Linked DNA regions of Lonchura striata. The main gene of each other region encodes a partner of the protein of the gene in region 4 in a complex. Links are inferred from orthologs where the notes say so. Each region holds a gene or a part of one and is shown on either strand. Other genes may lie near its edges. The genes, in order: NUP54, NUP188, NUP35 and NUP93.

Region 1 (7,887 bases), on a different chromosome or scaffold from region 4:
TACTTCTGGTCAATGTCACTGCTAAGTGTGTAATAAACAACCTGATGTTTTGCGAACTTTACAAACAGTCCTAACCTCAGGAAAAAAAACAAAGCCTGAGGCCAGGTACACACAGTTGCTGTGCTTACAGGCAAAATTTACAGGTAAAATTCTACAGGGTCCTTTTCTTTAAAGCCTTGTTTCCCAATGATCCTCCCCATTACACCTCATTTGGAGATTCAACCACTAGTATAGGTAGATGGATGCAAAAGCAGTCTGCCTTCCACAGGTTTTCAGCAAAAGAAGTCACTAGCCAGCAGGAGAGGATCTAAGTGAGCACCTGAGCTCCAGTGGTGCCAATGGCACTGGCCCAAGGTGCAGCCTGCGGAGCACTGACCTGCCCGGGAAACCAAGGTCTCTGTGTTTCACGCTGCTTTTACACATGCTCAAACAACAAAAGACAGTCTGCTACGAAGGGTTTGTCACAAAGATGCTGTCTCTCCTAACTGACATGTCAATAGCAAAAAAAAAAACCAAGGTTCCTTAGATCTACTACACTCACAGTCCTCCTGTCCACAAACAAAATGAAAAGCATAAATCAAAGCTGATTTTATGTCCACTCAGCAAAAATCTTGATGTGAGTGGGCACAAGAAATTGTTCCCTGTAACACCCATGTTTCAGTCCTGCCAGCGAGCGGGACACCCTGGCAGGAGCACCAGCAGACAACACCATTTTTAGGTACCTTTGTACCCACTGCAAATTTCGTCATCCTTTCTTGAAAAGGGACCTGAGTGAATACCAAAGTATCAAATTAAATATCAAATGGACTACCCACGGTCTCTTCTGGAGCAGCTCAAATGAAGGCAAAGAAATCCAGCCCAAGAGTGTTCACAGCAAATAAACGCAATGGGACTGCTGGAGTGCACAGAACAGATGAGAGGCGCTGACACAGAGAGCGATGACACTGTGGGATGGACGGAATTCCTATACGAGCAGCAGCAACGGGACCCCCTGGGCTAATTCCACACCAACACGAGCACTAGAAATCCATCTGGTCCGGTGTTTTTATAGGGAATGGGAAATATTTGAAGTGAAATGACATCAGCTGATGGCTCAGATCTGCTGGATCTCCATGGGGCCACAAAGGGCTTCCTTAGCCACCCCCCCACTGTGCACCCATGTCGTGCAGGGTTCCCTGGAGCACGAGCGTCCCCGGAGAGCTGGGGCAGGGCCGTTTTGGGATGCAGGGCTTTGGGGAACAGGTCACAGCTGGGCTCTGACTTCGTGCCGGTCGTATACAATTCGTTTCTGCACAGAAACTATTGAGGTGTGGTGCGTTCATGACAGCCAATGCAAGGCTGATGAGGAGACACGGGGGAAGATGAAAACACGACCGCAGTAGTCCAAGAATCTCATGTCAGGAAACAGGGGAAAGCTGGGATTGCTCGGGATCACCTGGATTCATTCCCATTCCAGAGACTTTTGGCTATGGGGTTATTTTTCCTCAAAAGCTATTCCTCAAGAATTTAACAGGCAAAACCCCTCCATGTCTGTGGCTCTCCAACCCATTCCATTTCCAGAGCTTTAATGGCCAGTCTTCACTGGATATGAGGATTAGGTGTGGACACGTATCCCCAGTGAGGGATGTAATTCTTGGACCCCTGCTGGTAACATTTACCACACAACACGTATTTAGGCATTATCTACCTGCGCTCGCCAGACTGTTACCAAAATTGAAAGGTGGAGTTGAGGTAGTGGAAACACCGAAATTCCCAATATTAAAATTCACCGCGGGATTAGCAGTTAATCCGAAACCCCCAAAATTAAACCCACTGGCAGTGGAGTTTGCAGTTTCAAGCCCACCAAATCCTGACGAGCGGGAAGCAGAAAAAGAGCAAGGCAACATTAGTTCTGAGTGAAAGGCAGGTCCCAGGAAAGAAAAGCTGAAGCATTTTTCCATCCCCATGGGCAAGACAGGCATAGTTACAGACAAGAGTAAAAGGTATTAAGTGGCATTAAATATTAGTTGTTGGACACAAGGAGGACAGTTAAAAGCTCCACACACTGCTGCTGTAAAGACATTATTTTTCAATTGTACAGTGCATAAAGCAGTAGCATTTCCCCACCTTATTTCAAAGCCATATCTTTGTGATTCAATATTCACATTAACAGTAATTTTCAACAGCCTAAGACTGCTCAGTGCAGCTGCATTCATCTTAAGTGTAACAGATAGTAGCAAAATTACTAAAATATCAGGAAGGCAAGAGTAAACCATCTTCACACAGATAATACACTCAGATACGTGACAGCAGAATAACCATGAAACTCAGCTCCAGCAGCTGAGGCTGGACCACACAAGCCTCAGTTACTCCAGGGCAGACTTATCCAAATTCTATTGCCAAAACCTGCCCACCTCAGCCTTGCTGGATTTACTGATACGCCCAGCAGCCCTTGGAAGCAGCTGAAGCAGGTTCATGCTGGACAGACAACGGGAAGTCCTGATGTGTGATCCCAGATTTCCCTCTGATATTGGTCTGTGAGTGTCACAAACCTTGGCACAGTGTACAGGCAGCACAAGGTGATGTTTTACTTTCAGATGGGGCCAGAAAGAGTGTGTGTAAAAGAGACAGTAAAATTCAGGCTGACTAGAGCAAAGATGAGTCCTGTCCCAAGGACTTGTTTGGAGCCAACAATTAATTATTTCACTAAGTGAGGGCAAGGAAAGTTCTGTCCTACACTTCACCACGACTGACAGTGACAAAAGCAGAAGGGGAAAAGCCTAACTTTACAAGTCAACCCGTCTTTTACCTTGCTAAAAAATGAACTTCCAAGGGCATCTCGTCCAAACGACGAATTTATTGCAAGCAAAATGCTGATCCGAGCCACCTCTTCACAAGCGCCTCAAGAGCGACTCCCGGACCCGCCGGGGTCCGCGCGAGGCGCGGGACGGCGCCTCTGAGGCGGCCGCGGCTCCCATTGGCCGGGGGGCACGCGCTGCCGGCCACCGCCGCTCCCATTGGCCGCAGGGCACGAGCGGGCCGCCGCCGCCGTCATTCTCATCGACGGGGGGGAACGCGCGGGTCCCTGAGGGGGCCGCGATCCCCATTGGCGGGGGGGCACGCGCTGCTAGCCTCAGCGGTTCCCATTGGCGGGGGGAGCAGCACGAGGGGGACACGCGCGGGCCGCCGCCGCGATTGCCCATTGGCCGGGGGGCACGCGCGGCCCTCTGAGGCGCCCGCTGTTCTCATTGGCGGGGGGGCACGCGCTGCCGGCCGCCGCGGCTCTCATTGGCCAGGAGAGGGGGGGGGGCACGCGCTGCCCGCTGCTCGGTTCCCCCCGCCCCGCCCCTCCGCGCCCCGCGCCCCCCCGCGCTCACCGGTCGGGTTGGCGGCCCCGGCTCCCGCCGTGGCGCTGAAGTTGAAGGCCATGGGGCCGATCGTGGGACGGCGAGCGGAGGCCCCCGCGGGAGGCGCGTACGAGCCCCCGCGGCGGGTCCGGCCACAAACAAAACCGGCCGCACGCGCCGCTTTTCCGCCGCCGCCGCCAAAGCGCTTCCGGGTGGCGCAGGCGACTCGCGGTGACGCAATCGGCGCGCGCCAGCGGGCTGTACCACTGCGGGCGGCGGGACGGGGGCGCCGGGAGAGGCTCAACGTCCCACGGGACGCAGGGAAATAAAGGGGAACAAGGACAGGCAGCTCTTCCCCGAGGATCGGGGGCATTCCCTGGATTTCCCCCAGCACTGGGACCGCAGTGCCGCCGTTCCTTCGGGTGTGCCCGTTGTAGGAGCTGGCGGGCGGAACTTGGCAGTGACGGCTCCCACAGGCACCCCACGTCCATGAGGGAACAGCTGGCCACGGAGATCACGGAGTCTCCCTCCGGGCACATTCCTGTGGCAGCTGCACCCAGAGCATCCCACGATGCTGGGAAAGGCAGAGCATGGGCAGATTCCAGAGCGTTTTCCCAGGGTTATTCCCAGAAAACAAGATTTGGGGTGACAACACTGTCACAGAATCGCAGAAGGGCTTGATTTCAAAGGCACCTTAAAGCCCATCTTGCTCCTCTGCCTGCCATGGGTGAAAAATGACCAGATAATACTGGCTTTCACATCTATGTAGTAGCTTATGCATGTCGTGATTATAAATATTTAGAATAGTACTGTTAATATAATACAATATATCAGTTTAAGCATGCCCTGTGATGCTTATAGAAATAGTGGTGTAATCAATATAATATCTCTGTATCACTTATGGAAATAATAGTGTGATGAATGTACTGTGTTACAGACCTTAGCAAAACATAAGATGTAAAAAAATAAAGAGGCTTTTGTGTAACTAAAAGCAGTGTAAGGCTATCCACTGACCAGCCTGTCCAAGTGATAATCATGACACAAACCAGAGCACCAGAGGACAATTAGAGAATACTATGTTAAATTTAAGGAGGACACACTAAACACTTATCAAGCAGGATGGAGACTTGAGAAGAAATAAAATATATTGACCTGACACCCAGGATGTCATGGGGATAAGCAGTCAGACAAAGGAGCTCCCACAACATCAGAAACACTGTCTGTAAAACAGCAGGGTATTCTTTGGCCAGGATCACCCCAGCGCTGGAAACACTGTCCTTGTTTTATCCTATTATTATTAAACTTTGAAAAATTCTAAGCAGTGAATTCTGGTTTTCACACTTGGGCAGGGCCACCTTCCACGATCCCAGGCTGCTCCAAGCCCCTTCCATCTGGGCCTTGGACACTTGCAGGGATCCAGGCGCAGCTGCTCTGCAGAATCCATTCATGGGCCTCCCCACGCTCACAGGGAAGAAACCAAAGCAGCAGCCAGGAAAAAGACTCCAAACCAAGCCCAAGTGATGCAAACCCCAATGCCCCTCTTTAGAAGACAGTTACACACTTCAAAAACACATTTCACTACCCGATGGAAACATTCCTCGATGAGAATATCCTTTTAATTGGGGAGGGGGGAGGAACCTTGGTGACTTTTGCCACAAGCTTCTGCTTGACAAGTAAAAAAAGTGTCAGGAGTTCTCAGGACCCTGTCCATACCACGGAGGGGTGCTCTCATCCCAAACATGCCAAGTCTGCATTCCCAGCAAACCCCCACAACACCACCCACCAGCCGTGTCCCCTCCAGGCCAGGAACACCGCTGAGCTGTGGTGCCTTAAGCTGCAGAACAAAGCCCACACCCGAAGGATAAAAGCCTGCCTAGCGAGCAGAGTGGGAACACCGCAGTGGTGGGCATGGAGAAGCTCCGGCTGGCTCGGTCCCACATGGAGTTGCAGCTCCGGGGCGGGTCAGCCGCACGCGTGTGCTGTGACAGGAGCAAGGACACCAGTGACAAACGCTCGGAGCACGCTGCAGTGAGGACACATCGTGGACAGGGCAGCCTGTGTCCCTGTCCCAGGGCCATCCAGGAGCCCGCTGCGTTCCCAGAGGGCCGTCCACGCTCCCAGGGCCGTTGGCAAGGCCGCCCGCGTCGCTCCCGTAGGGAATCAGGTGGTTCTGATCCTCTGTGGCTGCCAGTGCGGGTAGGAACAGAGGGCAGGGCTGAGAAAAGCGGGATCCGGAGCAGTTTGCAAATGGAGTTTGAAAGTTGTAATGTAGCTGAGAGAAAAGTCTTCTCCCTGGCTGACAGCGCAGATTACCTTCCACCTCTGTCCCACCAAAGGTGACGCTGGACACGAGCGTGGCTCCAGAGGGGACACTTGGTGTTAAGTCAGCTCTAATCATTTATTCTCCAAGCTCACAGGGGGAATAAAATCTACTAAGATGTCCTGATGAGCGGGGACCTCTCTTCTTCTGTGCTCTGCAAGAACAAAACCACAGCAAGTGAAACGTGACCATGAGAGACCTTCCACCATGGAAGCTGGGCTGCCCAGACTCCAAGCAGGGAAAGGAAAAGCTCCTCCTTCTAAGGACAACTCCCTCCAAGAGAGCCAGGGCTGACTAAGGAGGCACCAGAGGGTTGGTGGCAGCCAGGGCAGGGACCTGGGCAGCCCCTGACACAGGAGGGAAGGCCAGGGATCACAAGAAGAGCTGCAGACTGCTGGATTACCTCTGTTTGCAGGAAGAGCAACAAAAAGCAAAGCAGGAAAAGCATGGAATGCAGGTGTCCCTTTGTCACTTTGACCCCAAGAGAGCTGGTTAGAAGCTGTGCATGTAGGGTGGGGCAGGAATTCCCAGGACAGGCCTTGGGCAGTGGGACAGATTGACACCCTGGCTAAACTGCTGACAGCACAGGCAGGCTCAGAAGGAAAGGGAAAGGGAAAAGGAAAAAAAGGAAAAGCAACCAGTCTCTCCTGCACAGGAAACTGAAGTGCAGCCCCATAGGGATGGGATGGCAGTGGATCCCACTGATCCAGAGGGGCTCCCCAGGCACAGAGGGAAATTGTAGGACAGCATTTAGGGAACACCAAAGACAGTAAGCCCACAGCAACTACGAAGACAAAACAGCCTCCTAGAGAACCCAGGCTATTCCTCTAATCAAAGGCTCCACACTTGGTGCCACCTGAACCCTGTTATGGTGGAATGCTGGCATCAGCTTTCGCCCTGACATGCACCTTAATGCCAGCATGTCAGCTTGGGACAGAACTGCTCATAAACAGATTTACAGACTGTAATAGACATTTACAATAGAATTGTAAATAGACAATAGTGGAGAATACTTCCTGCTGTTGCTGTCTGTGCAATTCATCTGTTCTTTGGCCACAAATTCACATTATGATTCTGGAAAATAACCCACTGGCACAATGCAGTTCTTCTGCTGAGAACACTGACACCAACTAAATCTGTCCTCAGATATGGTGGAGTTTTTGCATCTTATCCTTCAGGGTCCTCTAGACAGGCTGATTTATTTCACTACTGTTGGCAAGGGAATTGGGCACAGAGACAAGACCTGCCTTACCAGGCTTCTCGGATTAACTCCACTCCTTTGCTTTGGTGCGTTTATTCTGATTCTATTAAAACTTCCCCTCCCTAGAAAGGTCATTCCCAACAAAAACAATATAAAAACACGTGCAGAAAGACACAGCAAGAGGTAAAATCAACCACAAAAAACAAAAACAAAATCAAATGCTGGCAGATGGACAGCAAGCAAAGTGAAATCCAAGTGCTGCTTACCTCTTCAGTTATCCTCTGGGACCTGCACACCAGCACAATGAAAACAATCCCAAACACAATCCCCAGAGCCATGATTACAAAGGGGATCCCAGTCACAACACTGGCTTCCAGCAGGACGTGCCTGAGTCTGCTGGCAGATGCTTCATCTATCAGAACACTCTGGAGCAGAGAGAGATGAAGAGGAAATTAAAAAAAAAAAAGTTTATTTATTTATGTGCTTCCTATAAGATCACTTTTGTGAAGGGCAGGGAAACAACACTCCCACAACTCTCCAGCACTGCTTCACTGCTTCTTAACATACTTCCCCCTTCAAAATTCTTCCAGGGGAGCAGAGGGATCACCTAGTCGGCATTTCAAAGGAAAATATGGACTTTTAATTTTTGGTTTAGGAATGGAACTAACACAAATTGATTCAGTGATCTGACCACAGCACAGGAATATTCACAGCAGATGAGTCAGAAAAAGGTGTGATCTCCTGAAGTCCTGCCTCTGTCTGAGCACCCCTTTTCCTCACGGCCAACTCCTTTGAGTTTAAAAGGAGTGTCTGAGAGTGTTTGGCAAGGCTGAAATTAGCACTACAATAAACAGCAGGAGGGTGTCAGTTAAGAAACAGCAACATCTTCCTAGCTATTGCTGTACAAACACCAAAAAACCAGCATTTTCTTTTCTGGCTGGCTCAGAGGGTATTTCTGCAAGAGTTAACATGCCACAATGCTGGAAAGACACAGAACTATTTACCTCATTTATATACATCACTGGAAAAATCAGCGTTCG
Region 2 (7,079 bases), on a different chromosome or scaffold from region 4:
CCACTTTGGAAGTTTGACCTAGAGCCTCAGATGTACTTCAACATCCTTTAGATTACTTTGAACTGAAAGGACCTTAAGTGTCTCTCTATTCAACATCATGAAGTCATTCAGTATCAGAATCCTGTAACAATTCACTCCAGAGATAAAAAATAATCCAAGAGCAGCTTCACTCACCAAAAACTTGCTGACTCTCAGACCCAACTCTTTTAGTGGAGCGGCTACATCTTTATCAGCTTTAATTTTTTCTGCTGAAGTCGTACTAAAGTGAAAAGAAATTTTAGTCATTAAAAATACAGCAATCTCAAAGAAAAAATTAAATAGGCATAATTTTAAAGTTCTCCACTCTTATCAGTCTAAACTGAACATTTGCTTCTTCCTCAGTGACCTTTCAATATTTCATACAATATTCTGTAACCTTCCTTTACTTACTAGGAAACTCCACATTTGAGATTAATTTCTAAAATCAGGCAGTGACTGTACCTCGGTGGTTTGTAGTATGACAGTCCCTCTAACAGCCTCTGCCAGTGCTTGTTCAACTCTGCAGCAATCTGAGCCTAAAACAGAACCAAACACCACTGAACAGACTCCTCAAAGTGCATTACCAAATATTACACCTGTTAAACTTCAGCAAAGCAAAGAAATTCCACCAGCACAAAGAGGCAGGAAGAACACAAGACTGGTGTCTGTGGCTCAGAGTGATTCCAGATGCAGCACTGAACAGGCAGGGAGCTGCACTGCCTGTTCCTAGGGAGGGTGAGGAAAAGGGAGGCAATGGACTGGATTTACAAACATTTGGATTCTCAACCTCTGGCCGAATTCCTGAAAGCACAGGCTCCATCCCTCAATATAAGACAGCAGTTGTACCACACGTGAACACCCCAGGGCAAACCAGGCAGCAGCACTTGTGCCCACTCCAGAAAAGGAACCACCTTTTCCATACACCCTTCCAGGCAGTTCATGCAGCAGCTGTAAACCAGCAGTTTACAGAAGAATAAACAAGTAGCAGAGGTACAGGAACAAAAATCATGCTGAGAAAGAAGGAAAGGCAGCAGAAAATATTTTCACTAATATTCAAAGAGTGTACAAATGATGTGTTTGGCCATGGAGCCCAATAAGTGATGGCCAAACCTGCTCTGCAGGGAATAACTTACTGGTTCTCTTAAAGCTGATCTGCCCAGCAAAATTGTCCATAATTCTCTGCTGCTCCTGCAAACACAAGGAAAAGGTGGAGAGCATTTTAATGATGAATGTTATTCCAGGCTTCCATCTAGCTTACACTTTTCAAACCTGCAATTAACTTACAGTGAATGACACTGCGATGCAAGAAAAATTATTTAAGGCACATTAGCTTCCAGCTAATGAGTTTCAAATGTCCTAGAAAAACCAAGGAAAAACCCAGAGAGGTGACAACTGACACAGCAAGACCTGTGAATTCACATCAAAACTTCACATTGATATCAGATTACCAGCTCAATTTGATTTTTTTACTTTAATTTGATTTAAAGCTCCTAAGAAGAAAATAGAAGCATAAAGCAGTATTCTACTATTACATTTAATGCTCTCCTTCAAACAAATTTTTCCAGCAGTTTCATCCTCCAGTCTAGGCAGAGCATAAAACTGTATGAAGTGAAAAACTCCACCATCTTCGCACAGACACCAGAACATTTACACTCAGCTTGTCATTTCTTCATGAGAACTCTGTAGAAAAGCCAACCTGCATTATAAAAATTACAGATCACACCCTGACCCTGGCACATGCATTCTAAAAGAAGTCTCCCTACAACAGCACAGAGAAAAGATATTTGCCAGAAACAGTATTTCACTTAGACAAACAATGATTTGCTAACAACACATTACAAATGAGGATTTAAACACCCCAACTCCTCACACAAAGACTGTCTACACAAGAACACTCATTGCCTTATTTTTAGAATAACATTATTAAAATAACTCACTGTGGCAGTGAAAGTCATCTGCAACTTCTGCCATGTGGTGACACTTAATGAATGACACCACCTGTTATTTCCAGCACACCCATCAGCATCATTCCTCCCTGCTCATTCCTCGATAGCTGGGTGCACTTCTCTGCCATGAGCCTCTCCAGCCCACGCAGAGCACCCAAAGACCCAGGTATTTACCAAGAACTGAACAGCAATGTGAAAGAGGCAATTCAATGAATCCCAGGTCCAGTGATCATGTCAGATCAGTGCCTTCATTTGCCTTGCACACATTTTTTTACTTATTGTCAGCTCTGAGCCCCAGCCTAGCAACGCCAACCCACCTACTTTTCACTCCTTCACAATCTCCTGTGAATAAAACAGACCGTGGTTTGTTGTCCCCTCATTAATAAGGCTCCAAGACAGCTAAGGGAGGAAAGCTCTCTGTATACGACCACAACGAACAGCGGTATCATTAATTTAATAAAAATTAGACACTAGGGAAACTCCAGAACATAAAAGCGTTATAATAAATGACAAAAAACGTGCTCTGGAGAAACGAAACCACTGAACTAAGATGATCACTGAACTCGGGATTGATTAAATCACTTCCATCACTCATTTCCACGCGTTTACTTTGACTTGCACGGGAGCGGCGCGGGAGGCGCAGCCGGTCCCGGTAGGGAAGGGCCGGGCCGGGCCGGGCCGAGCCGAGCCCCGCCACAAAAGCGCCGCAGCCGCGGCTCGCTCCGGCGCCCGAGCCGGGGCTCACTGAGGGTCCCTCAGCCGGGCGGGGGCGGGGCCAGCCCGGCGCGCGCCCCGCCGCGGTTAAAACCTCCCGGCCCCGCGCTGCGCCTCCTCCCCACAGCCCTGCCCGGCCCCCGGTGCCGCGGAGCGCGGCCCGCCCGCAGCGACAGCCGGGGCCTCCCAGGCCGCCCCCGCGCTCCCTCCGCCCGAGCGGCCCCGGCCCGCACCTCGCGCTCAGCCCGCCCGCCGCCATCTTCGCTCCGCTGTCACGTGACCCAGGGCTGCCGCCCTCCGCCGCGCCGGTGTCACGTGGTGCTGCACAAGCCACGCCCCCGCGCGTGGGTCATGTGACTGGCGGCGCGGCAAGATGGCGGCGCCCTGCGAGGTGGGTGCGGGCTGGGCTCCCCGGGGCGGTCGGGCCGGAGCACAAGATCCGCGCTGGAATCGGGAACCACCCGGGAGCGCCTCCGGCATCGCCCGCGGGCGGATGCCGTTCCCAGTAGCGGAGGCTGGGATGTGGGTGTCGCGGTTGAGGGGGACAGGAGGCGGCGGCGAGCAGGTGCGGGCAGCCCGCGGGTTGAGGGGCGTCCACAACGCTGCGGGGTCGTGGGGAAGAGAGGGAGCAATCAGGGGCTGCAGCCCGGATGTTTGGCAGCACGTCAGTGGGAAGCTTCCCCGCCCTGAGCAGCCGGCATGCGGAGCAGGAGACGGGCAGAAAACGCTGGGTCCGGCTCGATCCGCAGGGCGGTGGGTCCCGTTCGATGATGAGAGCGGCAGTGCCGAGGAGCTTCACAGTACCTGAAAGAAGGTGCGGAGGAGGGGATTGCGGCAGGCACAAGAAAACGAAATAACTCATTAGTGAAATATAGACTGTCAGGTCTAAGCATTCAGAGCCGCTCCATCAGAGACCTCAGGCAGGGTGAATTTCTACCTACTCTTGCAGCCCGGCGGGGAAGCTGTAATGCCATCGATACGGGAGCTGGGGTGCAACCTTAAGGTTGCCAGACTGAGTAGGAGGACTCTGTCTTTGGCTGGCAGGTGGCATTTACTCTGCTTCTTCTCAAATAAGCCTTAGGCTTCCCCCTCCCCAGTGCTCAGAAACAGCAGGGAGTACAACCCAAAAACTGTTATTGGTTGGAGGTAGATATTGCCCAGACCAGTTCTGGTTTATTGACTGTATGATTAATTCTTCTCCTGTTTAAAAATTAATTGCAATGACAAGAAATGACATTTGGCCTGAAGGAGCTGTGTAGCAACAGTGCATGTAATGAAGGTGTTTGGCAATCAAGTATTTCAGGCTATATGAATAAGGATGCCAAAAAGCAATCCATCAGTAAGTTTTCAGTACAAGGTTATAAATATCTAAACACTGCAGACACGCTAAGAAAGTTTTACAGTACAAACTGTAATAATTTCTCAGTAATATTGCTATTACTTTGTCAGCTTTGTAATCTAGTGTCACCATTCAACACTGGCTGAAAACCCAAAAGAGAACCTTAAATAAACTTCTGGTCTTCCATGAGGGAGCTGATGTAGATACTGGCATTGAGACTGGGGGAGCAGAATTTAGTAAGACTTTGCTGCTAATCAGCTTAAGGGTGGTCCAGAAGGGATAAAGTAAGCCCTTTTCACAGCTGGATCAACCATAATATTTCCAATAGACATAAAGAACAGGAGAACTTCAAAGACCCCAGAAGAGAGGCCAGTGTAATGGTAGAGGTTTACATATGGCCCATTATCAAATGATGTATCCATAGAGAAATCAGGGTCACCAGAAAGCAATAAATGCTGGTGAGAATTGCACAATGATGTCAATGCCCACAATTCTTTGAAGGAGATAAGATTTAACCTAACAGAGTAAATGTGGCTGTTGCTGAATATTTTAACTGCTTACCCTCCAGTCCAGACGTTTAAAGCAAAGCTTGGTTTGCAGTGCAGCTGTCAGTGTTGTCAATGCCCACAATTCTTTGAGGGAGATAAGATGAGATTTAACCTAAGAGAGTAAATGTGCCTGTGGCTGATTATCTTAACTGCTTACCCTCCAGTCCAAACGTTTAAAGCAAAGCTTGGTTTGCAGCTGTCAGTGAGCTGTGAGCCTTCACTTAGAGAAGATGAACTGCAGGATTTACTCACCTCACTTTTTTTTTAATTCATCTGTGTGTTGACTTTAGCAATTAGCACTTAACTATGAGTTTGAGTTTAAGAACCAAATAGCTGTGCAAACACTTCAGCTGTCCAAGTAGTTGCTTTAATTGCTTGCTTTTTTTTTTTTTTAATAGCAATTGCAGTAGCATGGAAGGGAATTCTTCCTAACAGGCAGCTGAGACTGGTGAAGTTGTGCAGGCCTGAGCAGGCTGGGCTGGAGTCATGTCGAACAGGGCAGTGCTGGTGGAGTCGCTGCTGGTGTTCACCGCGGTGCTGGCGGTGCACGCGGTGGTGTGGGACCGCTTCTCCTGGTGCGCCGTGGCTTTGGCCGTCCAGGCCTTCTACGCCCAGTTCAAATGGGACTGGCTGCTGCAGCAGGGCGGGGCTGTCTTCCAGTTCCGGGGTGCAGCCAACAGCGGCCTCCTGCCTGCCAGCATGGTCATCCCCCTGCTGGGGGTGGTGATGAAGGAGAGGTGCAGGGCTGCCGGCATCGTCTACTTCGAGCGCTTTGGCATCGTGGTGGCTTCCACGGGAATGCTGCTCGCTCTCTTCCTGTCCGTCTTGGCGGTTGGCATCACCAAACCTGTGCCAACCAACACTTGCATCCTGACTGGTGTTGCTGGCAGCGTAATTATCTACACCATGAAACATTCCTTGACTGTCTCCGAAGTGATAGAGGTTCTGGAAGTGCTGCTCATTTTCGTCTACCTCAGTATGATCTTGCTGTACTTGTTGCCTCGATGTTTTACTCCCGGGGAAGCGCTGCTGGTTCTCGGAGGTATAAGTTTTGTTCTCAACCAGCTCATTAAACGCTCACTGAATGTAATCGAGGGCAGAGGGGATCCCACTGACTTCTTCCTTCTGGTAGCAGTTGTTGGAGTTGTTCTTCTTGGTCTTTTTTTCACCGTGCTCTTCATTTTCATGGATTCAGGCACATGGATCTCCTCCATGTTTTTCCACATGATGACAGCAGTGTTAGGCTTAGGGGTCATCATGCCGTGGCTGTACCGACTGATCCAGAGGAACCCTTTGTTCTGGCTGCTCCAGTTTCTGTTTCAGACACAGACAAGACTTTACCTCCTTGTGTATTGGACTTTCTTGGCTGCCTTAGCATGTGGGGTGGTTTTCTACCAGAATGCTAAGAGATCATCTGAATCTAAAAAACACCAGGCCTCGACTATAACCAGGAAATATTTCCACTTCATTGTTGTAGCTACTTATGTTCCTGGACTAATTTATGACCGCCAGCTCCTCTACGTTGCTGCAGTGCTGTGTCTGGCAGTGTTTATCTTCTTAGAGTACATCCGGTACTTCAGGATCAAACCTTTTGGACAAACCCTGAGGCATTTGCTCTCTCTCTTCTTGGATGAAAGAGACAGTGGACCTCTCATCTTGACTCATATTTATCTCCTCCTCGGCATGTCCCTCCCAGTGTGGTTGTTTCCCAGATCATGTGCTCCTAAAGGCACCTTGTCTGGGGCAGGAGCACTGGTGCCCTACTCTGGGGTGTTGGCAGTAGGGGTAGGAGACACCATTGCCTCTGTTTTTGGCAGTACAATGGGGGAAATCAAATGGCCAGGAACAAAGAAGACCTTTGAAGGGACAATGACAGCTATTTTTGCTCAGATCATTGCTGTGGCTCTCATTCTGATCTTTGACAGCAGTGTGAATCTGAACTCTAGCTATGCCTGGATTCTGGCATCTGTGAGTTTGGTTTCTCTTTTGGAAGCTTACACTACTCAAATTGATAATCTGCTGTTGCCTCTCTACCTCCAGATCATGCTCATGGCATAGAAGCACTTCCAGGAACAGTTTTCTCCCTTCCTAGAGAAAGGTACTAGAAAATGCACTTTAATGAAAGCTCAAAGGTGATGTTTTGGTACAGCAGAGAAAGCTGTTGAGAACAGAAATGAGAAAGACTATTTTAAAACAGGTTTTGATTTGGTCTTGTTCTTACTCCTGTCGAAAATAGACGGATTTATGTTCTAACAGCAACAAACACAACCGATAAAAGCAGCACTTGTGTTTAATAATGCAATTTAAGTTTCTTCTGGGTGCACAAGGGAAGCAGAGGAAGAAGAGGTAAGTCAATTAGAGGGGAAAAAATAAACAAGCAAGTCTCTCAGATGTTGCTACCTCTGTACTGTACCTTGTTTTCTGTACTGAGTCTTGTCTTGTGTTTGATGTGTGAACTCTCATGTCTGTATAAGCACGATGTAAAGCATGTTTGATAATTGGGGGGGGCACAGG
Region 3 (7,763 bases), on a different chromosome or scaffold from region 4:
GATTACATATTTTACTCAGAAGGAAATTCCTTCTGTTTCCATAAGCACCTCTATTGTCTTCAAAAAGATAATCACAGAAACCCAGAATTATTAAGGTTGGAAAAGATCCCCAAGATCATTGAGTCCAACCATTAACCTAACACTGCCATCTTGACCACTAAACCATGTCCACACATTTTTGAACACTTTCAAGGATGGCGATTCTAACACTTCCCTGGGTGGCCTGTTCCAATGCCTGACCACCCTTTCAGTGAAAAGATTTTTCCTGATATCCAATCTAAACTTCTTCAGAGGCCATTTCCTTTTGTCCTCTCACTTGTTACCTGGGAGAAGAGACCAACATCCACCTTGCTACAACCTCCTTTAAAATTGTGGAAGGGTCCTTCTGGCAATCAGCTGCCAAATAAACTTAGAAGAAAGTGAAAAGCTGACAAACAAAGCTGAATTTATATGTACGAAGCATCACTTGCATTTTTCATTTCCTACTGAATTGAAAACTGGCAATAACAGGAATTTGCTTCATGACCACAGCTCTTGTTTAAACAGGAACAGGCACAACGAACAACCCAGACTAAGCAACGGCATGATCTGTAGGGTCATCACTCATTTTGCTACAGCAGTTTATGCAACTAAGTTTGAGAATTCACTGAGGCACATCTTCTGCTAAGAACAGGCCAGTGCCAAAGACACTTACTGTTCTTCTTGAGGACAGAGGTGTTGATCCAAGCCCAGGACTAGATAACTCATCATATATGCTTCTAACTGGTGGAGCACCACCTTTATCCTTATGCGAAGGGACTACTGGTTGTGGGGGAGACCCTCCTGCAATTCAAAGGAACAAAAGAAGAGCATGACAAAACCTGTCATTTTGCTTTGGTGCTACTTGTTCTGGAAACTTCAATAATAAATTCTGCCATGCTCTCATGCTGGTTGCTGTTGAGACTGTTGATTGTTTCACTGGAGGTTTGCAGAGCCATCTGTCCTACCAAATGTTCAAGTTTGAATGTTCTAGGTAGGAGCATCACAGGTGTTCCAAGCAGCAGCCTATTTATAACTTTCAGACCTCTTATTAATATTCACTGTTTAAATGTTCTTTCTCTGAAGTTCTGAGCATGGCTGTATCTTTCAATTTTAAGCCAGGCTTAGAAATCTATTTTAATTGTTTCAGAGACTAACTTGCCTATAGTAGAGACGCAAAAGCAAGATTTTTAAAAATTGAAATATCCTATATGTTAAAGAGCCATACCAAAAGCACAGAGACATTGCACATTACTGTCACATTCCCACTGTCCAAATTCCTTGGCTTCTCATCTAATTTCATATTAAATAAAAATGTAAGCTTTGAGAGCAGGGACTAGCTTGCATATAGACAGGAGGAAGTTAAACCAGCTGCCCTCTCATTTTGTAAACTTTGGAACTTCCAGTATAACAGAGAATTAAACTTCTTGAAGGAACTTGACGTATCTTATCCCTTTGTGTGGATTTACCCCAGGGTAAAAAAAAAAAAAAGTAGTTTGCATCAAGTTTTCACTTGCAAAACATTTGGAAACCAAGCTTTTTCCAGTGCTAAATTCTGAGCTTCAAGACTCCACTCTGTACTGTTTAACACATACAAGAACTGCTATTGTTGCATGGAATAACGTGCATTATGTAAAGCACTCTCCCATCAAGGTCTGCAGTTTAAGTGATGTACTTGATCTCTCCCTTTGGGAAGTCTGTGTTAGTATCTTACTGGCTCCCCTTTTCCTAAAATTGATACTCTGAGGCTATAATAAACACTTCAAAAAACAATTTGGTGAAATTCATGTGATTACTTTCAATTTCATAAGTATCTCTGTTTTCAGCATCAATGTATGTGTACCTGACATGTAAAGAGTCACATAAACTGATTCTATATTAGGAGAGGTTTATTACCTTCCCTGTAAAACAAACTTTTCTTGATGCCAAAACTGCCACATTTAGAACATTTATTATAATTCAATACACTGAGTTCACCACTTAATCAGTGTAGTTTGCTAACAGAAAGATATAAAACTATAAGGATTCAAGTCTGCAACAGTCATGTAGAACAATGAGATAAACCAATTTTTTGCTTTCAGGACAATTTTCCAACATTTAACGAATTCTGACCTGCAAGTAGTGGAGACCTTGTTTCCATGACACCAACTGAAGGGCCATATAAAGCACGTGGCTGCGGAGTCACTGGTGCAGGTAAGTCACCCATCAAAAACCCAGGGAGAAATTGAGCACTAGTTCCTTGTTTTGGAGATGTCGGGGAGCCAAGAGTCATTGGTTCAGCTCCTGAAAACAAAATTTTAAAATATGAACAAGACAAGTGAATGCTTTTTCTAACATACAAGATACAGGAAGTGATTAAGATCACAGAATCCCAGAACCATTAGCGTTGGAAGGGACCCCTGGAGATCATCTACTCCAACCCTCTGCCAAGGCAGGGTCACCCAGAGCAGGTACACAGAAACGTCTCCAGGTGAGTCTGGAATGTCTCCAGAAAGGGAGACTCTGGGCAGCCTGTTCCAGTGCTCGGCCAGCCTCAGTGTAAAGACGTTCTTCCTCACGCCTGAGGTAGAATTCCTTATTGTTTTGGTTTATGACCATTACTCCTCGCCCTGTCGCTGGGCACCACCGGCACCCGCCTCTGAGATATTTGTATGGACTGATGAGATCAAAGGCGGTTTTACAGGTAAGCCGAGTTTATCACGGTTTTTCGCAATTACAAGTGGCAGCCGATCGATTTAACCCCGCTCCCCTTTCGCGTCAGCCCGGCGCCGTCTCCCGCTCCAGCTCCGCAGCATCCCCGGCCCCACTCCCCTCACAGGAGCGCCCACAAAGCCGGGGAGCGCCGGGCCCGGCTCACCTGCGGGCAGCAGCTCCACGGCGAAGGCGGCCATGTCGGCCCGGATGGCGGGAAAGAGGCGGCGGCGGCGGCGGCTCCGCCTGGCACTTTCAAACGGGACGGAGCTTCCTGCCGCCGTCACTTCCGACCCGGCCCGTGACATGTTGGCGCGGGGCGGGAGGGTGTCGCGGCCTGGCGTGGGCTTGTGCCGGCCGGGCCCCTCATGGCTCCTTGGCAAACGGTCCCTGAGGGAGGGGCGGGTCGCCAGCAGCCGAGGGAACCGCGGCCAGCGTTACCGGGGCTGTCGCGGGCTGCTCCCGCGGGCGGACAGCTCGGAGCGGCCTCCCGGGGAAAGGTGCGGTCGGTGCCCGGGCCGCCGGGGCGCGGCCGGGAGCTGCTCCCCCGCCGCCCACACGGGGCCGGTGCCCGCCGACAACGCCCACATGCAGCGCGGCTGCCTGATCCCGCATTAACGTTTAGCATGGAATCATGGAAGCATGGAATCGTAGAGCTCATCCAGCTCCACCCCCTGCCATGGGCAGAAACGCTTTCCACTATCCCAGTTAGCCCTGTCCAGTGTGGCCCTGGACACTTCCAGGGATGGAGCAGCCATAGCTGCTCTGGGCAGCCTGTGCCCGGACCTCCCTCAGTGTAAATAATCTAATCTCAACCTCCTCCTTATTTCTGAATCCATTCCCATCCCTTGTCCTGTCACTAATGTTCTTGAGTAATTCATACTGAGAACAAGAGAAGCCGTGGTTCAAACACAGTGATGTGCTACTGTGCAAATTGCTGGCACAAGGACAGAACGCCAATCTTGAAACCAAACCTTTTAAATCACTTTAGCACACAATTAATCCAAACACAGCGGTCTCTTTATTTTGTTGCATATTAATATATCAAATCATTAAGAGATGGCATGAATACCACAAAATACTATTAAAATCTTATAGATTTTTTAAAAAAGCATATTAAGAGAGTAATTTCAGCCTGGGATCTCTCAGGAGGATCAAAATTACATACCCTATGATGTCTGTTCTTTACACATGTTGTGGAGTGGAGTGAGGGGAGAGCATGTGAGGACCAGATGTGAAGAAAAGACAGTAGCATGAGCAGAGACAGACCAGTATGAACATTTTTTGTATCTCTACTGAAATGATGTACAGGAAAAAAACCAAAAACGCTAGTTCCAAGACTGGACTCATCATATTAGTGCACTTCAAATCACTACTAGATGAGAAACAATAGGAATATACAGAGCATTAATGCATGCTGTGCATTTTGAGCATCCTCAAAAGACCATAGTTTTAATTTAAAAAAATTAATGGCTGGCTCTCCCACAAAATTCAATAATATCATCTACAGCTGCAATATAATTTTAAAATCCAGTATCAAGGTACTTCATTATATGAACATTTTATTATCCCTATTTTACAACCATCTAGGAATGCACAGATTTGGAAAGAAAGAAACTTACCTCAGTTATTTTACTTCCTTTCTCTATTGCCTGCATTTTCTGATAGTTCAGAAAGTAAACAATCATTCTATTGTTTTCTAATATTTCAAGGTAAACTGAGCTGTATCTTTTATTAGTGCTCTGGTTTTAGGCAAAACTTCTCTGAAGTCAGTACAACACCATTTGGCCTTTTGATGACATTCTGGAAAAAACATGGTCAAAGGAGGGTAAGAAAAAAAAATACATAAAGACTTGAAAATGCACATGTGAAAGGGGATTTCAAAATGACAGGACAAAGAACATCCAACACCTATTCCTGTATAGTCAAAACAGATTGTTTTGCTTTTCCCTTTGGATCAGTCATGATTGTTTATGCTTCCATTTGCCTTTAAAATCTGTTCTTGGTACTTGTGAAGCTGCTCCATGAAGCCAGGATTTGGACAAGCTGCAGGCCTTGCATTTTTCACCAAGGAAAAGGCTCTGGCAAAGCTCAGTCTTTCTGAATTCATTAGAAAACCAATGACTACAGCCGCTGCACGGGAGACTCCTGCATTGCAGTGAACCAGCACCACACCATCCTCCAAGAAAGAAATGAAACGTAAGTTAGGTACATTACATTCATTAGGTACATTAAAAGTGTAAGAAACTACATAAGTCTTGTAAGACTTATTAAAAGGCTCCTTGTTGAGCTCGAAGCAAATATTTACACATATAAGTAAATCCAAACAAAGATATAAGCATGATATAAGCATGAAATTAAGATTTTTTTCTACCCCAAAATGCTTTATTATTACCAAATTCCTCAAACTTAATTCATACCCGAGAACTAAAACACATCCTCTGTCTTTCTTCCTGAGGCTTTACAGCAGCCTGTTAATGTAAAGAACAAATCATAGACAACTGGGATACTAAAGTATCTGATCTAATTGAGTGACAATTTTGAAATAGATTTTATTTTCAATATGGAAAGGAATTTGAAAGTATCTTGTTAAAGGTTAAAAACATAACAAAGCAGCAAACAGCTGGGCACAGAGGCAGATTTTAGAATGTCTTGTAGTCCCAGTTGCATGTTTCTTGTGTACGCTGCAGGGAAGATTCTGGGTAAAAGGGATCATGCACAGGAAAATTAGAAAAGACATTGTGTGATTTGCAACAGATCTCTCCCTTCCCATTACACCACTGGTACATCTACGGACCCTTAATTGGGAACTAGGGTGCAAAATCCAAAACTACTCAACTTCCCATAAACTCACAAATGCTTCTTCTGGGGTTTGAATTCGGGCTCACCCTAAATTATATATTAAATTAATGGGTTTTATCCTACTTAAACATTTCCCTCACTACATTTGAGACACCTGTATGTCTCTTTTTAACACTGCAAGTTTTGTTAAGAAATAACAAGCCCAAATCAACGCAAAGACAGCTAGACAATCTAGCATGTCTTAAGCAATGTTTGCAAAGCCCCGGCTTCGTGAGGCAGTCATGTTTGTATGTCACACTATGATCTGGAAAAGCCCCTTGGACACAAAAAGAAACCACCAAACCCTCAGCACTTCCATATTCTGAATGAAAATACTGAAACATGACATGATGTGATCAGATACTTGAGGCTCAACAGAACTATTCTAGCCTCTTCTGTCTGCCCTTAACAGGTACAAGTTACTTAATGGCAATTTGACCCAGAGACAAAAAGATCTTCTAAGCATCAGGGTTACTTTCCAGGAACTTAAGAGTTTATGTTACAGATTTAGGAGCTACAATTATCTGGCATTTTAACAGACACACAGACCAGAAAATGGTTCCTGTTCCAAAAATCTTCCAGTGTAAATAACAAGGCAAAGAAGTATGAAATGCAGTATTATTATCCTTGCTGGAGAAATTCCAAGCTGAGACTAGAAGAATGAGGCACAACATTATGACAGAGCTAGGAACCAATCTAAGCTCCCGCATCCCAGCATGGCAAATAATGACACCACCCTTCCTTGCAATGGAAATCACACCTCCTGTGCACTGCCTGCTGGAAATTGCACTCTTAATTATTTTTTATTTTCCTTTGTACTGTTCATGCTTTATTTCCCTTTCACATTTAAGTCTGATGTATCTTTTTAAATAACTGGTTTGTTTTACACTGCCAAAAATTATATAGTGGTATCCATGAATCCTGAAAATTATTGAACATTAATGAATCTGGGCCATAATATTAATCCAACTTTAATACTGAGAATGTTTCTCTTCCCTTGCCAAAGTCCATTGTTCACAATTCATACAAAAATTTGGCATATTATTCTTAACTAGTTTTGTATTAGCTGTGAATGCAGAATAAAAGTAAGAAACAGATGACAAACAGGAAATAAATCTCTATTTACCAAGAACTCCTTGCTCTGATGCTGATAAAAGTTTTCCTGCCCAGAAATGGTCTGTGGACTTGCAAGAATCATGTAAGAGTCAAGACCAAGTTGGGTTTTAAAAAATTTTTATGGAGAGAGAAACATCACCTTCCACCAGCAGAAAAGGTGATTATACAATGGTTGTACACAGTGGGCGAAAAGCCTCATCAAGGGAAGAAATTTAAAAGAAGCACAAAGCTTTTTGTGAAGTCAAAGGCTAATGTAATTCCTTATAGATCCATTCTACTTTGCAGTGAAACTGAGGCTTTTCCTTAGGAAAGACAGGTGGACCAATAAGGAGCGATGTTCATGAATAAGCAAAGCTTTTCTCTTTGGAAGCACAAGATTTCAGAAGTTTTATTATTAGATATTAAACATATGAAAAAAGTATCCCTCATTCACAGTATTATGACTTGACATAGATCACTGAACATGTCATGGAAAACCTGCCTGCCAAGTTGGAGCCTAGAAGAAAAGTTGAGCTCTGATCAGTATCAGAATTTGTACCATGCTGTCTAGAGACTTGAGCCATTACAGTTTTAGAAAAGTGAATCCTGTTACAAGTACCCAGCTGGCAATGACTTAGAGAATAGTGCAGGCTTCACTTGCATCCTCAAATTCACATGCTCTCATACTTCCTTCATGGAGTTAGCCATGTTCTAGAAATAATTTCTCATATATCATGCTCTATCACCAGTGAACATCTCTTCCTCACCCATTTTAGGAGATGAAACAGTAGTGTCTCTGTGGTTACTTAAACAGAAGAGCACTTCATGACACAATTTATCATAAGCTCTTTTAACACTATTTTGACAAAACAAATAAAGTAATTCAAACCACCTAGAGATCTGTCTATATACCACTATCATGTGCTTTTTGAACTGATTCTGGAGAACTATTCCACCAAATACATTCCTTTCATCCACCTCTTCCACCAGAAAACTACTAATGTTGTGATAAAAGTTTTCCTGTAAACTCCTTAACCTACAAACTAGTAACTGAGATATAAACACCTGAGGCAGAAAGCAGAATAGTGCAGTTGTGAATGGCAACTTTCATTTAGAAA
Region 4 (7,213 bases):
AGTTTAATTTCCTGAACATTTAAAGCCACACTTAAGCACTATATATTGTACAAACTCACTAAGCTTAAGCCACAAAGAAAACAGAACAGATGACAGGTTTCTTAAGTCTATTCAGACTGATTATAGTTGATTATTTCTTACCTAAAAACTCCTCAAGAGCACTACAGTGCTATCTTAGGAAGAAAACTCTAGCTATTCTACTCCAAATACAGCCACGATGAACATTTTACTGTACTTGATTCAGAAATACAAAAGCTGAAATACTCCAGTGCACGTCTAAGTGTTCACTGTACTTCACACATTGACAGGATTTGTGTCAACTAACCAATTAACTTTGAGAAACAGTAAAAAAATTAGGTTTTCCCAGTGCTCTAGGAAAAAGAAAGGAAGATGTCACAGGAGAAGGAAAACCTCACTCACTACATTCAGAGTGCTGACAAAGCAAGAGCTCCACAAGTTGCAGAAAGATTATTCAAAATGGGAAAGAAAAAGGAAAAAATCCAGTGTTGGCTTCTCAAAGAGGCTCCACCCTCAAAGTGCTCAAGAGACCCAGTCTGATGAGTCAGGATCAGCTTCTTGTGGAAAGAAAACACAAGAGCACAAGTAGTAAGACCAAGCCAGCAGTGTTCTGCTTCCTACAGCCAATATCTGAGGTGAAAAGTGCTTTTTCAACAGGCTCCAAGCCTGGGATGCTACAGAGAATGGAGCAGCTTCTGTCTATTAAGCTAAACATGAATAAGTAAAAGGTCCATTCTGCAGGCCTGGGGAATTCTGTCTGAGCAGCAGCAATAATACCCAGCTCTTGCATGGCACGTGGCATAAGCAGACATCCAGACATTTCAGAGAAGTCAGCAACATAATCTCCATGTTACAGACAGAGGAAGTGATTAAGAAACACTGAGATGATAATCAAAGAGCAGGTGGACAATTGTACAACCCAAATCTGCTGCACATTTTCAGCACACCATCCTCTTGTCCATAAAACACAATAATGATTATCAAACCTAACAGAGGGAAAGCTTCCATACCCTAACTACACTAAACCCAGATAAATCACAATAGGCCACTTTAAAAATATCTAAAAGCTTCAAGCTTTATTTGGCACCCCATCTGGTACAACAGCCTCTTCCCCCTGCAACAAAAGGCAGATGCAGGAAAATCCTGAATAGATCACACAACAACCTTTGAAACAATACTATTGTTTCTTCTACCACTGATCCATTAATGCTTCTCTGACTCCTATAAAAAGGCTTTCAGTCCTGCATATTTTCTTCTTCATCTCATTTGTAGGTAGATATGCAAAAGTCCAATCTTCTTATGGTCCCAGAGAACCCTTACAGTAGGTATGTTGAACAAAAATTTTTTTTTCAAAGTTTTAAAGGCAGTTACACTGGGTTACTTGCACTGTAAGAAAGGACAAGGAAGGGCACACAATGCTTCTCTACAGTGTTCATTATTTAAAGTGGACCTAAAGAGTAGGCATTTGAAGTGATTTCTACCAAAATACACTAGCACACATTTGTCAACACCCTTTCATCTGCCATCAATTCCTCATAAAGGTCTTAAGTTCCCATTGCCCTGAATAACTGACTCAGCTGGCAGTTTTGCTATATTACCACGTTCCCTCTTTTCCAAACACTTAGCCTTTATTTTAAGCACCCAACTCAGCAGGAACTTGCACAGGGTGGCAAACTGATCCTCATTAGACAGAGCATTCAGGATTTTGAGCTCCTTAAATGAAAACCCATATCCTCCCCTCAATGAACTTCCTGTCATTGAATTTCCTGAATTTCTGCACCACAGAAACTTTATGGATTTAGATGACAGAATCCCATGCTTTCTTCCAAGCAATTTTAAGCTTTTTCTGTCAGTTTCCCCAAGGAGTAGGAAAATTTTTTATGACACAACATAACTGAAATAGCACTAAAGCATATAGGAACTGGTATTTCTTTCTCACTATCATCTTAACTCTCCATGCCATAACTACTGTTCCCAGACCAACATGACCAAATTGCAGAAGAGAAGCAGCCCTTCTTTGCACCTGGACTTTAATTCAAGCCCTTCCACTCACTGTTCATAAACTCTTCCAGTATCTGAAGGGGTCCTACAGCAAAACCAGAGAGGGACTCTTTGTCAGAACTGTAGTGATGGACAAGGACTAATAAACATTAAAAGAGGGGAAATTTAGGAAGACATTCTTTACTGTGAGGGTGGTGAGGCACTGGCACACGTTGCCCTGGGACTGTCCCACCTCTGCCAGTGTTCATCATGCCAGGTTGGATAATGCCTTGACCAGCCTGGTCCAGCAGAAAGTGTCTCTGCCCATGGTAGCGGGAGGTGGAACTATATAAGCTTTGAAGTCCCTTCCAAACCCTCTAAGAATTCCTAGGAACCAACCTGCAAACCCACTGGGTGGGAGAGAACAAGCCCCACGCACAGAACTCGAAACAGACACCAAACCACACACATCATACACAAACCCGTTCTCCGGAAACCTTCCCAGACAACCAACTTCTGCTCCCTTAAGCACCAACGCTGCACTTGGGTTAAACACCAAACCACCCTTCTACAGCCGGGCTTGGCACTGCCGACCCGCACAAAAGCTCGGAAGAACAGAGCCCTCCTCGCGCATCCACAGCGGCCCCGCTGCCTCAGCGCGGGTTACTGACGGCAGCGACCCCGGGGAGCCCCGGCACGGCCCGCGAGCAGGCCTGGAGCGCTCCCAGCCAGCCTCCCGCCGCAGCAGCGGCCTGCACGGGCCGGAGAGGAAGCCATGGGCGGGGGGCAGCAGCCGGGAGCTGCGGGTGCGGGGGAAGCAGGCAGCGAGCACCGCAGGCGGGGAAGAAGCGGGGGAGAGAAGCGGAGGACGCCGAACCCCGGCCCGCCCGCGCGGCGCCCTCACCTCGCCGCGCTCCGCGCCGCCCGCCGCGCCCGCGCCGCGCGCCTCCATTGGCTGCCCGCTCGCCCTTTCCCGCGTTCCCATTGGCCGAGCCGCCGGGCGTCCCGGCTTCCCGTGCTCCTATTGGCCCAGCCGCCGCTCTCCGCAGCGCGCCCGTTCCCGCTCCCTCGCGAGAACAACTTGATTGAGGCGCTCGGAGGGGGCGCGGACCGAATGGGGGGGCGGCTGCCTCCGGACACCGCGGGTTCGAGGCTGCCTTCCGCCTCCTCGCGCTGCGTGCGCCGCGCCGAAATCAGTGAAATAAGAGATATACAGACAGAAATATCCTCTGGGACTGTTTCTCTATTCCCCCTTTTCCTTCTTAGTAAGCGCTGACTCTTGCTGGCAAACCCTGTCTGTGAGCTGATTCTGTGAGCTGATTCTGTGGGAGGTAAAATGAGGATAACGAATTCATCCCCATTTTGCCTCCCATGGCCAAATACACCAGCAAACAAACTCGCAGCCAGCAGGTACTCACACCACCACCTGTATAATGGTGCCCTGAGGATGTATAGGGATTCGCTGTGTTTGGTCCCATCTTGGACATACACATGATGGCCCTAAAACAGATATTGCCAATGACACAGGATTTGTTGGGCAAAATCTGGGAACTGGGAATTTCATGGACCCACAAGGCGACAGCCTGCTTGTGTAAGAGACAGCCTGGATTTTGCTGCTGTTCTGAAACATCACCCATCAAACCTTCAAAGCTGAACAGATTTCCCCATTAACACTGTCTCTATTTCCAAATTTTCCCATGTAAAAAGAAATTCCCAGCAGGCCAGAGGCAGCTCTGGCACCGGCTGTAACTACTCCTCCTAATTGCCAAGTGCGTGCAGGGGGTCAGGGTACATTTCTGCTCGTCACTTCAGTTTGAGGGGAGCACTTGTCCCCGAGAGGATGCCCTGGTGGAATGGATGCTCTGGTAGTAAAGATGCCTTGGTGGGATGGTTGTCCTGGTGTGATGGGTGTACTGATGGGATAGGCGCCCTGGTAGGGTGGCTGTGCCACCTCAGCTCTCCCTGAGCCCTTCCAGGCTCCCGGGGCATCTTTCCAGAGCGAGGAGAGTCCTGGTCCGCCCGGAGACCGGCGCTGGTGCCCTCCGGGGCGGGACGGGGGAACAGCCGTCCGGAGGGGCCGGGAAAGGAGAGACAGAGGCAGGGACCGAGGGAGGCGGGGACCGGCAGGGAGCCGGGGCGGCGGCGGGGCTGCGGGCAGGCAGGTGGCAGCAGATCCCTGCGGAAGGGCTCGGTGGCGCCCGGAGCGGAGCCGCTCGGGAGAGCCGTCCCTGGGGAGGGACCCGGGTCCTCTGCACGGGGGGCAAGGGGTGCTGCCCCCTCTGTGGGTGCCCGTCCCTCTACACTGGGCGCACAGGGCGCCTTTGCCTTGCCCAGGATGCGCAGGGTGCTGTCCCCTCTACATCAGATGCGTGTACCCTCCATCCTGGGTGCCCATCCTATGAGCATAGCATCTCATCTCTGTGCCAGGGGTTTTAAACAGGATATTAGTCAAAACACATCAGTGAAAGTGCTGTCAAGCGCTGGAACAGGCTGCCCAGGAAAGTAGTGGAGTCACCACCCCTGGAGCGATTTAAAAAAACAATGTAGATGTGTCACTTGGCTTAGGGGTGGGCTTGGCAGCGCTGGGGTAGCAGCTGGACTTGATGACCTTAGAGGGGTTTTCCAACCTTTCCAACAATTCTATGACTGTATTTTCCTCTCGCACTGGGTGCATTTTCCCTCTGCCCTGAGGGCAGGGTGTTATTTCCCCTGTGCACACGTGCCTGTCGCCTCTGCGCCAGGTGTGTTTGCTCTGTGCGCTGGGTGCATGTCCCCGCTGCGCACAGCGCTTGTCCCCTCGGCACAGGGCGATGTCCCCGCGGCACAGAGGTTCCTGTCATGCGTGCGCAGGGTGCTCATCTGCTCTGCACACAGTGCATCGCTCCTCTGCACAGAGCGCACATCCCTTCTGCACAGGGCACGTGTCCCTCCTGCACATGGTGCGTCTCAGCGCCACGCAGGGTCACGGACACCCATCACCCCCCTGGGATTCACACACAGCTAGAAAAAGCGGAACTGAATGCGGTCCCATGGGCAGCTGCAGGGCTGTTCGTCTGGGAGTGCACCCAGGACCCCCTTGCCCTGGCTCCCGTGGGTGCCCAGAAGGGATCGTGGTCACCTCAAACCACCTCAGCAGACTGAGCTGGACTTTTTTTGGCGGGGCTCAATAAAGTACATCAGCGTCTTCGTGGATCAAGAAAGGCTCCCCTCACCCTCCCACTATACAGAGCTGTCCAGAGGCTGAGAGCACTTCCTGCTTCATCAACAAGTACTTTTTTTTTTTTTTTTTTTTAATAGAAAATACTCTTGAGGGGACCAGAAAGCCCTCACCCACCTCACTGAGAGCAGCTACAGGCAAGGGCAGGCACTGGATACATCCCTGACCAGCTCATTCCACTGGTCCTGTGGCTTTCCTTGCCCCAAATCCATCCTGGGGAGGCTGGAAAAGGCACCAAGGCTGGGGGTCTCTGCCAGACGGGCGCGCAGGCAGAACCAGGAGCAGGCAGGGCAGGCTGGCAGCGGCAGGGTGCAGAAATGTGTGCCCACATCCTACCCTGGCACGCTGCTGGGAACCGGGGAGCGGTTGATGCCTGGGGCGCTTCCTGTGCGGGGAAACCCCATCCGCGCCCGGCTTTGTTTCTGGTGCAGGATGCGGGCGCCTGCCCCGGGGGCTCAGTCTGCAGCCCCTCCGCTACAGTGGCCGGGGTCGCAGCCCTGTTTCATATGGCTCCAGCAGCAGAGCCATGCCAGTCTTCTTTTCCAGCAAAGCGTCTTCCCATGGGATTGTTTTTAAATATTTAGGGCAGGGCAGACCCTTAAAACCCATTTCCATCACTACACCTCTGTTGCAGCAAGCAGTGCTGGGAGGCTGCTGAGGCAAAGACACACTGATGCAATAAGGCAACACATTTAAAAGGCAAATGGGTGTTGAGCTAAGTGCTGCTTTTCTCACTGGCCAAGTTGGGTGCTGAGTGGTCTGAGGAGCCATGTGCTGAAGCTGGGCAGACTTTGGGGAAAGGGTGAGCCTGGATCATCCTGGATGCCTGAAACATCCCTGGGAACTGGTATTGCCATGCTCCCACTGTGCAGACACCCCACCTTGTGTCACCCAGCCTAACAGATAGGACTATGTGGGTACCCAAGGGACAAATTTTCCTGGGTTTTAAATTTATCTTGTCCGTGGTGCCTTGTCACCAAGTGCTGCAGGAGATTTTCGTGCCAGGCAGAGCTGTCCTATTGCCTGAAGAGACACAAAATGGGTGAGGGCAGCATGGCTGGGAACTTACATCTATGGTGGGGCACACCCAGGAGACATGTATGGGCAGGCATCTGCCTTAAAAGTGGCTGCTCCATTTGGCAGAGACTTTCGGAAGCAAAACACTTAGTATGCATCTTCCCACCGCCCCCCCTCCCCCATTCCAGCAGCCACCCGAAATCCAGGCAGCTAAGCACTGCATTCACAGCTATTGTTACCTGCCCTCCTGCATCTGGAAGACTTTGCAGCTTTAAGCAAGGTGCTTCCCAAGAACGAGCTGGAAAAAAGTGCTCGGAAGTTTTGCCTACAGCAGGAGCCAAGCAGTGTAGCTGTAGGTGTTCGGCATGGGGAGACTGCAGGGAAAGTGTCCTTTTGGGGATGGATCTGCTCTGCAATGGATTGGGGCTTGCAAAGCTTTTGAGGAGGGAAGCTTTGTCCCCACTAGAATTTGTCCAAATGCTCTCCAGCAGCAGCTCAGGGCAGGCATCTTGCCAGCACAGATCACCCTCCCACCCACCACACTTGCTCCTACAAAATCTTTCACCCAAAGGAAGCCCCTAACATAGTGCAGAGGCACCTGCCATGTAGCCAAGGAAAGGCTGGAGGGGACTAGAGACCCTCCTTCCACTGTTTGCCCACACCTCTGGGTGTGTCACCTGTCCTCCCTGGGAGACCAGCACCTCAAAGATGCCCACATCAGCCCCACATGTAGGATGAGATCCACCCCTGTGAAGCTCCTTTCCTCCCTCAAGGAAGGTGCAGAGCCCACTTAGGGAAGGACACAGGAGTGTTTCTGAGCAGCCCTCTCCCACCCTGCAGCGACAATTCGACAATTCCCATACAGGTGTCCCAAGCGGCAAAAATGCTCAGCCTCCAACCCATCCCCACAGCAGCACTCGTACCTCCAGAAAAACTCCTTTATTTCCATCCAGTTTCACCACTGGTACAGAAAATACAAAA

What was found.
Region 1: NUP93 (region 4) and NUP54 share a complex: the UniProt entries of both Homo sapiens proteins name them as parts of the p62 complex. The link is inferred for Lonchura striata from reciprocal best matches to the Homo sapiens genes NUP93 and NUP54.
Region 2: NUP93 (region 4) and NUP188 share a complex: the UniProt entries of both Homo sapiens proteins name them as parts of the nuclear pore complex. The link is inferred for Lonchura striata from reciprocal best matches to the Homo sapiens genes NUP93 and NUP188.
Region 3: the proteins of NUP93 (region 4) and NUP35 are in contact, whole or in part, in a crystal structure (PDB 7MW1), measured with the Homo sapiens proteins. The link is inferred for Lonchura striata from reciprocal best matches to the Homo sapiens genes NUP93 and NUP35. Residues at the interface, in NP_055484.3 of Homo sapiens: Tyr266, Tyr269, Asn402, Ala407, Asp408, Lys409, Thr410, Glu411, Tyr413, Tyr448, His452, Phe453, Val455, Asn456, Leu461; in NP_612142.2 of Homo sapiens: Ala88, Pro89, Pro90, Val91, Arg92, Ser93, Ile94, Tyr95.

Annotation. Positions count from the first base shown.
Region 1 is NC_134606.1:72,473,518-72,481,404, reverse strand, and holds the start of NUP54 (nucleoporin p54), read right to left. Parts: upstream 3,003-7,887; 5' UTR 1,962-3,002; coding exon 1,688-1,961; intron 1-1,687. Other genes in the region: SCARB2 (lysosome membrane protein 2), read right to left, coding at 5,759-5,800, 7,114-7,272, 7,852-7,887. UniProt on the Homo sapiens protein: Component of the nuclear pore complex, a complex required for the trafficking across the nuclear membrane.
Region 2 is NC_134624.1:250,883-257,961, forward strand, and holds the start of NUP188 (nucleoporin NUP188), read right to left. Parts: upstream 3,010-7,079; 5' UTR 2,938-3,009; coding exon 2,912-2,937; intron 1,207-2,911; coding exon 1,152-1,206; intron 555-1,151; coding exon 481-554; intron 260-480; coding exon 175-259; intron 1-174. Other genes in the region: DOLK (dolichol kinase), read left to right, coding at 5,052-6,623. UniProt on the Homo sapiens protein: Component of the nuclear pore complex (NPC), a complex required for the trafficking across the nuclear envelope. Required for proper protein transport into the nucleus.
Region 3 is NC_134610.1:33,293,413-33,301,175, forward strand, and holds the start of NUP35 (nucleoporin NUP35), read right to left. Parts: upstream 3,018-7,763; coding exon 2,876-3,017; intron 2,302-2,875; coding exon 2,131-2,301; intron 823-2,130; coding exon 695-822; intron 1-694. Other genes in the region: DUSP19 (dual specificity protein phosphatase 19), read right to left, coding at 4,667-4,888. UniProt on the Homo sapiens protein: Functions as a component of the nuclear pore complex (NPC).
Region 4 is NC_134615.1:15,614,012-15,621,224, reverse strand, and holds the start of NUP93 (nuclear pore complex protein Nup93), read right to left. Parts: upstream 3,009-7,213; 5' UTR 2,903-3,008; intron 2,604-2,902; exon of another isoform or gene 2,481-2,603; intron 1-2,480. UniProt on the Homo sapiens protein: Plays a role in the nuclear pore complex (NPC) assembly and/or maintenance. May anchor nucleoporins, but not NUP153 and TPR, to the NPC. During renal development, regulates podocyte migration and proliferation through SMAD4 signaling.